2 linked regions of the Drosophila melanogaster genome follow. Changing the gene in region 1 together with any one later gene gives a genetic interaction. Each region holds a gene or a part of one and is shown in the gene's direction. Other genes may lie near its edges. The genes, in order: Wwox and Sod1.

The links.
Region 2: of Wwox (region 1) and Sod1, changing one enhances a phenotype caused by changing the other (phenotypic enhancement), as found in Drosophila melanogaster (one study listed by BioGRID).

What each region holds. Positions count from the first base shown.
Region 1 is NT_033779.5:7,998,404-8,007,105, reverse strand, and holds Wwox (WW domain containing oxidoreductase), read left to right. Parts: upstream 1-2,819; 5' UTR 2,820-2,917; coding exon 2,918-3,009; intron 3,010-3,071; coding exon 3,072-3,581; intron 3,582-3,642; coding exon 3,643-3,822; intron 3,823-6,672; coding exon 6,673-6,802; intron 6,803-6,869; coding exon 6,870-6,998; intron 6,999-7,073; coding exon 7,074-7,262; 3' UTR 7,263-7,436; downstream 7,437-8,702. Other genes in the region: Spn28Dc (serpin 28Dc), read left to right, coding at 1-674, 1,546-2,455; Sirup (Starvation-upregulated protein), read right to left, coding at 7,556-7,857, 7,939-7,993. UniProt on the Drosophila melanogaster protein: Putative oxidoreductase. May control genotoxic stress-induced cell death. May play a role in TGFB1 signaling and TGFB1-mediated cell death. May also play a role in tumor necrosis factor (TNF)-mediated cell death. May play a role in Wnt signaling.
Region 2 is NT_037436.4:11,110,020-11,115,373, reverse strand, and holds Sod1 (superoxide dismutase 1), read left to right. Parts: upstream 1-1,633; 5' UTR 1,634-1,734; coding exon 1,735-1,800; intron 1,801-2,525; coding exon 2,526-2,921; 3' UTR 2,922-3,093; downstream 3,094-5,354. Other genes in the region: FoxK (forkhead box K), read left to right, coding at 1-289; emei, read right to left, coding at 3,510-3,629, 3,686-3,949, 4,012-4,186, 4,255-4,512, 4,574-4,869, 4,970-5,344. UniProt on the Drosophila melanogaster protein: Destroys radicals which are normally produced within the cells and which are toxic to biological systems.

The sequences.
Region 1 (8,702 bases):
CTCGTGAGTTCGGTGTGCTGTGAATCGGAACTATTTCGTGATGACCTGAGGACCCCGGAAACGATGGCCTACATCAATGGACTGATGCAGCGGCGGCATCAGATGCAACAGGAGGCGCAGCAGCACATTCAGGCGATACCGCCTGCGGTGCCCCTTCAATCGCCCGGCCTTGTGAACGGCCTTGGCAACCAGAATGACCCTGCGTTGAATCGCATATCCGGCACTTCGGTGAAACCTTCCAACCTTCCGGCTGCCTACTCCAACGGCTATGTGGATCTGGCCACCTCTGATCGGATTGCGAACAGTGTGCTGAACTTTGCCAACATTCTGGGCCAGCATTTGGCCAACGGTAAAACCCAGATATACTCTCCCCTGAGCATTGTACACTCGCTGGCTCTGCTGCTCCTGGGCGCCAAGGGTCGCAGTTACGAGGAGTTGTCCACGGTCTTCGATATTCCGGACACGTCCAGGCTGCACGAACAGTTCGGCCTGATGCTGCAGGATCTGCAACAGCCCACCAGGGAGGCGATCTCCGCAGGACGACCGCTGACCGATTGGCGGGCGAGCAGCGCGATGAGATCCAATCGACGGGCCCAGCGACCCGGTGCTCATGAGGTGCACCTGGCCAATGGACTGTTCACACAGACCGGCTACACACTCAATCCCGACTACAGGTGAGCCGAGCAGCGGATAATTATCCGGCTGCAAACTGGAACTATAGCGATATCTGGTTGGGAATGGGTGCTGGGAAATGCCAAACGATTAGCGATCGCCTTGAGGTTTTACACCGTGAAAAACTGAAGGCCATGCGGGCTAAAGTGATCTCCTTTTCTGAATGCCAAGTGAGGGAAACAGGTTCATTGTACCAGCAAAATGATCTCACCCATTATCATCAAGCGTTTAGTGTCTCTTGATGGTGGTGCTCCAAAAGGAAGTATTTATTTTATATTCGAAGATAATATACAACGAGAAAATATTAGAATATATTTTTCTGTGTAGAAATGAGCGTGTAATTCCACTTATATTTATGAATCTTTAAAGCCCAAGCTTTCATTGAGAAATATATATGTACGTACGTACGTATAAAGTTTAGAATATAAATGGGAACCATTGACAAACAAATTTAGTAAGAACTTTTAGTGCGATTGTTTTTATGTAGAGAACTTGAATAAAATTAAATCGGAATTGGAATTGGAATTATCAGTTAATCAAATATTTAATTAGAAACCTTAGGTCAAATAGTAGGTACAATGAATTGCCAAAAATTTGGCAAATAAAAAGCACTGATAAGAATGGATTAACTTAAAAACATAACTAAGACATTTAATTATTTATTTATTCTTCAATTATAGCTGATCAAACATTGCAAAAAAAGCGGAAAAAAACTACTTTCCCAAGTTATTATTTAGCTCACCAGATATTGCAATTCCAACCCATCCCCAGTTCCCCAATACTATCGCTCCACTTTGCACAACGTTGTTGGCATACTAATAGCTGCGCCTTGTTGATTTATTACTCATGAGCTCCACTTTTGTGCAATTCCAGACGGGTGATCGTCGAGGTCTACGCCTCGGATCTGCAGATTCAGGATTTCGAGGGCAGTCCGGCGACAGCACGATACAATATCAATGCTTATGTGGCGCAGCACACAAAGAATCACATCGAGAACATCATCGCCAGCGATATTCCGCAGACCACCAGGATGATTCTGGCCAACGCATTGTACTTTAAGGCATTCTGGGAAACGGACTTTATAGAGTCAGCCACACGTCCGGATAACTTCTATCCGAATGGCGAGGGAACGGAGCCGGTGATGAGGGTGCAGATGATGGCCACCGGTGGTGCATATCCGTATCACGAGGATCACGAGCTGGGCTGCAAGATCATTGGACTGCCGTACAGGGGAAATCTGAGCACCATGTACATCATCCAGCCGTTTAAGTCGTCGGTGAGGGAGCTAATGGCACTGCAGAAACGTCTGACGGCGGATAAGATCGAGAGCATGATCAGCCGAATGTACAGACGGGCCGCTCTGGTGGCATTCCCAAAGATGCATCTTACGGAGTCGGTGAACTTGAAGACAGTCATGCAGCGAATGGGGCTGGGCGGCATCTTTAGCGCGGTGCAGAATGATCTCTCGCTCATCGCCACCAACGAGGCCACGAGGACGAATGCGCTGGGCGGCAACAGCCTGCAGAATCTGGAGGCACAGCGCAGAGCCGGAACGGGTGGAGCACGTTCCGATCTGGTGGTGGATGACATTGTTCACAAAGTGGACTTCACCGTCAACGAGCAGGGCACGGAGGCGGCGGCGTCTTCGGTCACATACCTCAAGAAATCCGGTCCCGATGTCCTCTTCCGCGGAGACACTCCATTCATGGTCCTTGTGCGCCACGATCCCACGAAACTGGTGCTCTTCTACGGACTCATAAATGAGCCCCCGGCGGCCGCTTAGTTTCTAGGATCATAAGTTATTAAGCTTTAGCACCTAAGTTCGTTGACTTTATAGTTAGGAAACTAATAAATCATTCACAATGATGAAAAATAAATTAAAACGTAAATTATGAAAATTTGTATTGGTTTTTGTTGCTGTTGAATCTTTTCACATTATCCTATGTACCGTACAGCAGGCAGATTAAACAATGCCCACAAATGTTCAAGGCGCTAAGTTTCTACAAATCATTTAAATTTAAAAAACAACCGCCAATCAACCGGTTGCGGTTAAAAGCTCTGTTAAACGGAGATGCTGATTATTAGCGGGTAACATGTTTCGTTTAACGGAACAGCTGTTCATTTAGTCGGCAGTTATCGCTTAAGCCGCATGTTATCGATATCTTCAATTATTTTGTATTCTTTTTCGCAATAAAAAGTGTATACTTTAGAAATAAAGCTTTAAATAAGTTTAAATTGATTCGAAATGATAGCCCTACCCGACACAGATAGCGAGGATGAGCTGCCACCCGGCTGGGAGGAACGTGCCACCGATGACGGCACCGTTTGCTATGTGAAGTAAGTCAAAAGTCCAGTGGAGTCGTAAACATTGTCTGATATTTTTTAATTGCACCATTTAGCCAGCAGGGAAAAACATCACAGTGGACACATCCACGTACGGGTCGCTCCAAACGGATCACGGGCGAATTACCCTTGGGCTGGGAGAAGTACTACGATGAGCAGGGAAAGCGTTTCATGTTCCTCAACAAGGAGACGCAGCAACGAACGAATGTGGATCCTCGTTTGGCATTCGCCGTGGAGGAGCCCACACAGAATGTGGCCCAGGTGCGCCAGCGATTTGACTCCTGTTCGACGGCACTGCAGGTGCTGCACGGCAAGGATTTGCATGGACGCACCGCGCTGATAACGGGCGCAAATTGTGGCATTGGCTACGAGACGGCTCGTTCGCTCGCCCATCACGGCTGTGAGATCATCTTCGCCTGCCGGAACAGATCCTCCGCAGAGGCGGCCATCGAAAGGATTGCCCAGGAGCGACCTGCAGCACGTTCCCGCTGTCGATTCGCCGCTCTCGACTTGAGCTCTTTGCGTTCAGTTCAGCGATTTGTGGAAGAAATTAAGCAGAGTGTTAGGTCAGTAGCATAGCTTTCAAAATCTAATATTATTTAATTGATAATTATATTTATATTGCAGCCACATTGATTATCTCATCCTTAATGCCGGAGTATTCGCACTGCCCTACACGAGGACCGTGGATGGTCTGGAGACCACATTCCAGGTCTCGCACCTGTCGCATTTCTACCTCACATTGCAACTGGAGACACTGTTTGACTACAAAACACGGATCATTGTGCTGTCATCCGAGTCGCACAGGTAAGTGTGAATTTGAGCACTTTAGCACGTAATTAGGGAGGGAGGGGGTAATAGAGTATACCAGTTACGAAATAATTCATATATATTCTTATGGTGTGTATAAAAGGTTACAAACTAACCGCTGAACTTAAGTTTTATATTTCGTATGAAATATCAATAGATCAATCTTAAAAATTAAGTATTCAAAAGATATATGTTAAAAAAGGTTACATGGGAAATACAAAATCAACTGGTTATATTTCGCACTATCAGTAAGGGAATTAAAAAGTTATTTACAATTCGATCGTATTGTTTCTTGTATCAATTTTACTATCAGTCACTGTCTCAATAGAAAATCGTCTCTACTTAAGTTAAATAAAATACATCGAAGCTTCAAAATATATAAATTGATGTATTATATATAATTTCTTAAACCTATTTTCTTGAATCAATTTGGCTTATTTCTTTCCTAATTAAATTTCTCAATGTCAGCACTGTTAATCTCGTTTTAATAATTATTATTTTTTTGTTTCTGTTTTTGGCCGGCAAACAGTTGTCATTATTGCAACCTGTTTGTGTGCAAAATGATTATTATCAAAATCACACGGGTATTTTAATTGAAGCTGAATTTGGTGCATGTCACATTCTAAAAATATATATATTTAATATATTTTTAATAAGGAATAAAATAAAATTATATACTTTATGTTTTAACTATCTTAATAACTTTACAATATTAATTTAATTTATTTAATGTAGTTATAAATTCAATAGCTATTTCGTATTCGACACCATCAGTTTTAAATGTGTGTCTGCCATTTCGAGTTGCCTTCTTTTATTTTTGCAAGTTGATTGCACTTTTATGATTCCGCATAGTGGACTTTGCACCCAGCGTTTTCTTTTTTTTCGCACTTTGGGGCCAAACTATTCATAGACCAAACCAGAAATAAATGCATTCCGCCTCAGCCATGCCGTCTAGTGTAATGTTTTCCAAAATGTTTGCCTATTTGCCTCAGATTTGTTTGCGTAAGATGTTTTCCGTTTGATTCGATTTCAAGGCGAAACGTAATTGAACTCAGCTTGGCATATATGAGTATATATTATTCATAGGCTTCGTTTACATATTGTGCTGCGCACTCAGAGGCAAACAAAGAAACACATAAATATAAACAATTACGAGGCCAACGCAGCTGGGTTTTTGTATTATCAAAACCAAAAACGTGCGTACAATAGAGCAATATGATCGAACTCACGTGCAGCTGTAAGCACAGTGGAGTAGAGAGCTCTGAAAATATGATTGTAATCTTTCTTTAAAAAATATCTATGAGATAAATTAACTAAACTGAAGAAAGTATTTTTGTTTTTCTTTTAAAACTAAAACACATTCAGATTAGCTACGCATATAAATCCAAGCAGAGTACTTTTTTTGTAAGATAAACTTTGAATGTTCAAAACTAGCATGCTTTAAATAGATACTATAAATGTAAAAAGTGCCCCTATAATTTTCCTTATCAGCGCTAACTCGCTTAATTAGATTGATTCATTTGTGGCCGCTCGAATGGCTCACTGTGCATGCTGTCAAAGACCAAATAAATCACTGGGTGAGCGAATCTCGTGAAGAGGCACAATACCAATTCAAACTGAACTGGATGTACATATGTATGTACATACATACTGGCTATTGGAGGTGGTTTTGTATCTGCTGCGTTCGTTGCTGTGCTCACGTACAACATTTTTTGGCTTCGCGGAGCATACATGACTATCTGCGAGTACTCCAATGTGGCGCACGAGACTTTTGTTGCACGTTCACACGGGCGAGAAAAAGATATGAATGTTGGTATGGAAGTTCGACTGGTTATCATTTTCAAACATTAAAGATTACTTACAATTAGTTATTCTTGCATCAGCTCACAAAAATTGGGTTATTCATTGTTGCATAGATAAAATATTTTTATTTAAGGTTTCTCTTTTTCAAATAATTATATTTTTGCGTGGGAAAAGTTGTCCAGACATTAAACAATTATTAATTCAATTAGAGTCTTAAGGTAAAGCAACGAGTTATTGTTCTAAAATTAAATGCCATTCAGCAGCAATTTATCTGTCTGTAGAACCTAATTAATTTACATGCAAACAGTCGAAAAGAACGCTTTTTTGCTTACCTACCACAACAAGATACAAATATACATATATAAAAAAAGAAAAAAAATGGAACGCCAACGGGTTTCATTTGTCATGGATGCCAATGGATACCCATACTTATAAATAACACTGAATTTGCATACATTTTGCGACGTTATATTTACATCGCCCCCAAGCCGAGCGCAGATATTCAATAAAATGAAAACAAATCCAAAGTCCAGAAATGTGCGCGCAGATATGTGTTTGTGTATAGAAATGTTTTCATGTTGCGGCATTCGTGGATTCGCAGGAAATGTGCGACTTGCGCATGCGCTACTGCCGAGGATTCCAGAGGCTTCCGCCGAAAACTGGAGATACATAGATACATAGATAGATAGATAGATAGATAGATAGATACATAGATAGATAGTTCGCCATAGAGTTCACTATGCATATCAGAGGGTCCTTGTTCGATTGTGGGGCTTTGTTCCGCCGGCCCCACTTGTTGACTCACGCCATTGTTCGTGGGGAGCCTTTGTGCGCCCTGCACTGCGCTAATTCTGCATCTCATTAATAAAGAGCGCTTAAAGCCGGCTATGCCAGCCGGCAATGGCAATCAAGACTCGTTTCGCGATTGTCGGCCGGCGGGGCCAAAGTCCAGTGAGTTCACTTGGACGAGAAATGTTCATGTGGGTCTCATGTACCGACAAAGAAATGCGTCGCAAATAATCTTAGTTACTAACTAACATGCAGATTTGCCAACCTGCCCGTGGAGAATCTGGCAGTGCATCACCTTTCGCCGCCGCCGGAGAAATACTGGAGCATGATGGCCTACAACAATGCCAAGCTATGCAATGTCTTGTTCGCCCAGGAGCTCGCCCAGGTGAGTCCTTAAATTGGGTCAATTGAATTCCACTTGCCAACCCTTTTTTTTTGTTTTTTTGTTGCAGCGTTGGAAGCAGCGAGGCATTTCTGTTTTTAGCCTGCATCCGGGCAATATGGTGTCCAGCGATTTGTCACGAAACTATTGGTTCTACCGCCTGCTCTTTGCCATTGTGCGTCCCTTCACCAAGTCGCTGGTGAGTTTGGCAATGAGAAGAACTCTCTGTTTTCCCTTAACTTTCACTAATTGCTTTCTGTGCCCCATATGGCAGCAACAAGCGGCTGCCACGAGTATCTACTGTGCGACGGCCAACGAGCTGACCGGATTGTCTGGACTGTACTTCAACAATTGCTTCTTCTGCGAGCCCAGCAAGTTGTCCAAAAGTGCTGCACTGCAGCAGCAACTGTGGAAGCTGAGCGAGAACCTGATTGCCGAGCTTGTGGAGCAGGAGCAGCATTAGCCAAGTCATTTGGCTACTGTTTTTTAAATATATTTATGCATTATGCTACCACCAATGATTCCATTAGGTATAATTTTACATTTTAAACCAGCTATTCATTACAAAGATATATTTTGAATTCTTTAATAGTTTCTGCCCAATAAGTGCAATGCAAATAAACTTTTGTACGTTAAGAATATCATGTATTTTCTTTTTACACTAAACAAGTATACATTTTGATTTGTTTTTAAGTCTTAATGGCTAGCATTTAAATAACAGTCTAAGTACTAGTTAAGGAACTCTTCATTTGGGCACTAGAAATCGGAGACGCGTCCCTTGCGCTCCCAGTCGCCGTAGCGTGTGGGCTCCGGCCCGGCTGGTCCGCCGATCTCGCCCGTATACGGATTGGTCTGATTGGGCCAGGGCTTGAGTGGTTCCTTCTCCTGGTACGGATGTCGCGAGAATTCATCCAGCTTGCCCAGCGGCGTTTTAGCGCGCAGCTTCTTCTGGAAGGCCATTAGCTTCTCGGTGCGCGTCTTTGGTTCCTTGATCTCGACCACCATGTCGCCACCGCTGGCGGTTGCCCGCCAAGCGCCACTCGTCGATAGATAGCTCACTGTTAATGAAAAATTGAAAGAACGTTAGCATCGCCACTCCAGCACAGTGCGCACACACACACACACACACACACACACACCTTGTTTGCCCATTTGGGGCAGGACTCGCGCCGTTTGTCTGGTCACGGATTGCATTTTGTTTTTTGTTTGGATTTCCTTTATCGGTTATGCAAGATGATGCCGGCGAATCTTCGTTTTTGTTCGCTTCTTAGTCGCAGTTACACTTTGTGTGTTTACTCAAAAGTCTCACTTTCGGCTGGGAGTCAATGTCACTTGCTTGTTGCTTCGCGTCTGAATTGCAATCTGCGAGGCTGCGTTTCGCTTTTATAGCCCGCGTTGCTTGTTTAGTTGCTTTATTTATTGTGCCATATGTTGTGGTGGCACTGAAAATGTACTAAATATAGCCATACAATACGCACAGCGGAGACGCACACCAGGGTGCATGACTGTGCTAGGCATTGAGCTGTAACTCTAGCTACATGCTATCTGGCAACGCTGGCTTTTAAATTTAAATCCGTTATTGAAAGAAAGAAACTGCGAAAAATATTGCAACTTTATTTATTTTAAGTGCATTCAACCATTTACTCAAGACATTTAACAGTTAGTTGCATTTATTTTTTATTACGCCTTAATGGTATAGTACTATCACACTTCTTAAAATCTATTGCAAATTTGTTTGCTCACTTCTGCATAATAATTAAATTCAAAAATGTTCAAACCATTTCTTAATATATTATCAACTGGCATTTTTTATCAGTTTTTTTTTTTTTTTTTGTATAAGAAACCGACGTATAATCGCGCCTATCTGGAGTTTGTAATGTTCTATATGCTTTTCATTATGTTG
Region 2 (5,354 bases), on another chromosome or scaffold:
CACACCACAGACGCATGTGGAAGGAAGCGCAGCGAGCGGCGGCGGCGGAGGCGGCGGGGTTGGAGCTCTGCTTGCGCTAAAGAGGAACCATGTGATGGGCGGCGGGGCATCGCAGCATACGCTGCATCAGCAGCAGGCCGTGGCCCAGCAACAGCATTCAGAGATTATCTACGAGGAGTTGCCGACCGACTACAGCGGCCACATTGAGGCCAGCGAGGAGGAGTGCGTCACCACTGCCACCGATGCCACCGTGGCCAAGCGACCCAAGTATGTGTCGGAAGTGCTCTGATGCGTGCGGATCCAGAAGCACCGGCAGAACAAGGGCAAATAGTGAGGCCCATGGGTGTAAACGATTAGAAAGCAAAAACAAAAAAGTATCTCCATCTTGTATATTGAATTTGCCAATCAAAAACCTATACCTAAACCCCGAAATACAAATCAAATTAAATAGCCACACACGCAGAACTTAAGGAACATGAACGCACGCGAAGAGCAATGTATATGTAAATTGATATGGAACATTTTACAAATAGCAACTGTGAGATGATTGTGTTTGAAATGTTGGCCATGCAGCCGTTCAACGGCGGCGACTTATGCAAGCACACATTTTGAAAATTCGAAAACCCGATTCGAAGTAACGACTTTATCCCCTAGATCTGACGAATTCAATATGCTCGATGACGCTACTCTCTAAGTAATATAATAAATTTTAAGTTTACAACAAGGTAAAGCAGCAAACAAAGCAAAATTATCTAGATATATGCGATTGATTATTGTAATGATTGATGATTATGATGTTTAAGATGTTATAGCTATGTGACCGAATTGTGCGAGAAACGTGAAAAAAAATTTGGGGAAAATTAAGTAACAAGCAAGCAAACCACACAAGTAACAAACAAACAAACAAACAGGCGAATGAATAATATTACCTATCTACATACCTTTACCTATATCGATTTAAATATAATATATATATATATGTGTATATATATATATGTATATCTATATTAATATATATACAAATTATTAAAATACAAACAAAAACAAAAATGATGAAAATAAATAAGTAATATCTACAAATTTACGGATACAATAACAATATATAAAGATTGAAATGATAGCACATTATTTCTTATTAATGAAGAAAATCCCATTTAAGTGTTTGGACAAATTGTGTATTAAAAAAAAAAACAAAAATCAAATGTAAACTTTCTTGTTTCAATTTGTTAATATTTACCTGCTTTAATTGAATTAGATAGATGAATGAATACTAGTTGATACTAGTCAACAGGAGCGCAATCAAGTCTGGGCATTTATTGGGGAATTCCTGGATTCGTTTTTTATTTATACAAAACAAAGTAAATTGAATAGTTCCCGCCACTGTCATTGGAATAAATGGAAGGCTTCCAAGTGAACCACCCGTTCGTTGAACAGCTCAAAAAATTCAACGCCATTTGTGCAGTAAAATTGTTCCGTTTTCAAATTTTGTAATTTGTAGCTTTTATCCTTAAAAATGTAAATAAATGTCCCAATAAAACATGAGCTTGAAATATTACAAAGAAAAAATGCTTCCAGTAACGGCATAATAGTGTGAACGAAACTTTTGCACAACTGAACACTAACAGTAAAAGTTCCGCATGTATTTCTAAGCTGCTCTGCTACGGTCACACCATAGAAGATACCTGGAAAGTTCTCAACTTTTTTCGTTTTGATAAATTGATTAATTCATTCGAAATGGTGGTTAAAGCTGTCTGCGTAATTAACGGCGATGCCAAGGGCACGGTTTTCTTCGAACAGGAGGTGAGAATCCAAAATCATTTGAACTTCTCTGCTCGGCAAAATGTACGAAAAACAGAAGTTCTAAAGGTCAAATAGCCGGCTGCACCCGCGGCCCCCTCTTCCACTTCAATATGCTGCTTTAAATTCTGTCGAGCATTTTAATTAAGTCCGATTTGAGTTTACGCCTAGTCACCCAGCAAGTGCACCTTTATATTTATATAAGCCGCACCAAAATGCGCATATGTGTGTGCGCTCAAGTGCCTACAGCAAAGGTCACGAAATTGGTACTGGACATAAAAAGGAGTTAAGATATAAAGCTCACTTGTTCGTAAAGTATCGTTAAATATCAACAAATATTTGTTTTAGAATAAGCATTAGGAATATGGGAATAATTAGAATGATGCTGTTCATAATTAATTTGTACATCAAAGTCAAAGCAGCAATGTCAAGTGTCAAGTAAACGATTATAAACTTGATGATTACAGGTTATGTTTCAGTGCCGAGGAAATTTATGTTTTTAATCTATAAAGATAACCAAATGTTTACTTTGCTGCCTATAAATATTTCCGTTTAACGTGTGTCTATTAACAAATGTTATTTTCTATAATAACCTATTATCATATGAAGTTGGCCACGCTCGTTATCATAATCAGTGCTTCTGCTCACTATTATACACAACTTGTGTCTTATCAGTATTCGAGTATTATCTGAAGCGTTATAACCCAATCCCTTCATCCCGTCCACAGAGCAGCGGTACGCCCGTGAAGGTCTCCGGTGAGGTGTGCGGCCTGGCCAAGGGTCTGCACGGATTCCACGTGCACGAGTTCGGTGACAACACCAATGGCTGCATGTCGTCCGGACCGCACTTCAATCCGTATGGCAAGGAGCATGGCGCTCCCGTCGACGAGAATCGTCACCTGGGCGATCTGGGCAACATTGAGGCCACCGGCGACTGCCCCACCAAGGTCAACATCACCGACTCCAAGATTACGCTCTTCGGCGCCGACAGCATCATCGGACGCACCGTTGTCGTGCACGCCGATGCCGATGATCTTGGCCAGGGTGGACACGAGCTGAGCAAGTCAACGGGCAACGCTGGTGCCCGCATCGGGTGCGGCGTTATTGGCATTGCCAAGGTCTAAGCGATAATCTATTCCGATGTCGGCCACTGTGCTGATCTACTCTATTTAGCACTACCCACTGGAGATATACAAACGATATACATACTTCTAAACATAAATACATAGCCTGTGGTCTGTTAGTTGATACGCAACCTTTGAGGTTCAATAAATTGGTGTTTTGAAATTGCCCCATAAACAAAAGTTATAGTTTTCATTTGAGTTGAGATGGTAAGAATGAATATATCACTTGTTGCTCGACGAATTCGCAAGTAGAATCGGGTTATAGATTCGTATGAAATGAATTACATATTAGATGAGTGCAGAACCCAAAAATCACGATGAGACACACATTCGTTCATGTTTTGATAACATATCTCCGTTTTAGATTATTTATTTATTTTTGTAATTACTTTGGTTACTCTCCGGGCAGCCTGGTTAAAAGTCTTTAAAACACACTTTATAAACAATGAGTTAGGTAGTATTATTTACAAAAAATATTGTAAATCAAGATACTCGCCACATGAGTAGAAACTAATATTAATTTCGTGTGCGGTATAAATTCACTACAAAAGAACAAAGTCATATACTACGACGGGGATTTAAATGAACCTAGGTCTTGTTGAAATATGATTGGTAGACAATGCCCAGCGATGAAGTGGCGAATAGGGTGAAGTAGCTCCACCAGGTGGCAAAGCCCAGGAAACCCTTGTACACCTCCGTGGAGAAAACCTGAAAAAGAAATTATGATTAAAACTGGCATTGACGTGCACAGCAAGGATTCTTACGTTTTTCAGGCTGCTAAACGAAGCCTGCAGCGATTGCGCCGACTCAATAATATTAAAGTCACCATCTCCTTGGGAAACGGCAACACCAGCTCCTTCCGTTTCGCTAGCCGCACACTCGTGCTGCAGGACAACGCTCTCGCGGAAAATACCCGACCAGCTAAAGCCGCCCAGACTTTTGTACATAAGTGTGAGATAAAGGCATAGGATCAGTGGGGCAGCAAATTGCAGCGTCACAACACATAGATAGTAGAAAATAGACGAGATCTGTAAAAGGGAAAGGAGGATTTACTCGATGAACGTTTGTATAAAATAAAGACTGCCTCCACCTTCTGCTTGAACTCTACGTTGGTGATCCGACCGGCCTCCTTGCGCAGATCCATGATCTTGTCGTGGGCCAGATTCAGGTACGATTGCAGATATATGGGCATCAAGGCGAAACGAACCACCACCACAAAGATCACTAGCAGCAGGCGAAGTGTCTCAAAAACGTGTGGCTTCAGTCTGCAAAAATAATCGGGATGAACTTGTTAATTAGTAAAAACTAATTTAATGTGAGTAGGTTAACTCACAGTGGCTGTTGCATTCCTTGGAAGACGCGCACCGTCAGGTAATCGCGGCTAATGGGCCGAATCCACAGGATGACCAGAATAAAGGGCAGCACAAAGCTGAGATTCAGGAGCACTTGCAGCAACCGGTTGCCGCGACAGTACTTCAACGAATCCCAGTGCATCTTGGCCATCCGCAAGCCGGGGAAGGTGAACAATGAGCCGAGCAGGCCGCAACCCATGGCCAAAAAGAACTTGACCACGATCTTGGAGGCGGGACCACTGAAAAAATAAGAATAAGAGTGTAAATAAATAGAGATACGCGAAACAGGGGCGAACTCACGATGATGGCAGGCCCTGCTCGGTGAGGAACTTGGAAGCGCTGGCATTAAAGCTCGCATAGGCATCCTCCAGTCCCGTCTCCAGAATGCGCTCGTCAACGATCAGCACGACCATGGCCACCAGCAGGTAAACCAAACAGGCAACAATCACCATCGACCTCTCGCCGATGGACTCCTCGCTCTGGAAGTAGAGCACCGTAAGCGAGGACAGCAGCTTCAGGGCAAAGAAGATGACCAGCAGGCACCACACCATGCTCAAGTTGACCTCGTGGCGCAGCGGGTAGTAGAAGTGGAACAGCTGTGGAGGGGAATCCAAAATTAGTAAGTTATGGTATGCATTCCTAGAACTAGGATCACAGTAGTCGGATTTTCAGGCGAACAACCCGAGCTTTACCCACCTCGGAGACCACGTAGACGATCCCCGTGTAGACACTGAAGTCCAGCAGCCATTGATATTCGGTGAAGTAGCGCAGGTGGACAACATCCCGTTCCAACACCGGTGACGTCAACAGCTCCACCTCAATGCTGCGCGGTATGTGGAATTGTGCACCCGCCGCTCCTCCTGAACCATTTGCCTGCTTATTTCGACCACCTTTTGGTGGCTTCTCCTTGGGCACACCGCCGCGGGACCGCAGCTCATCGTCCGTGGGATGCAGGTATCGATAGAGTCCGGTGCGGCACAGAATCCACTTGGCGAAGGAGTAGTGTGGACTCAACTTCTGGATAACGCTGACCATCACCAAGGTGATGACCAATTGGGCGCCCAGCACAGCCTGCAATGGT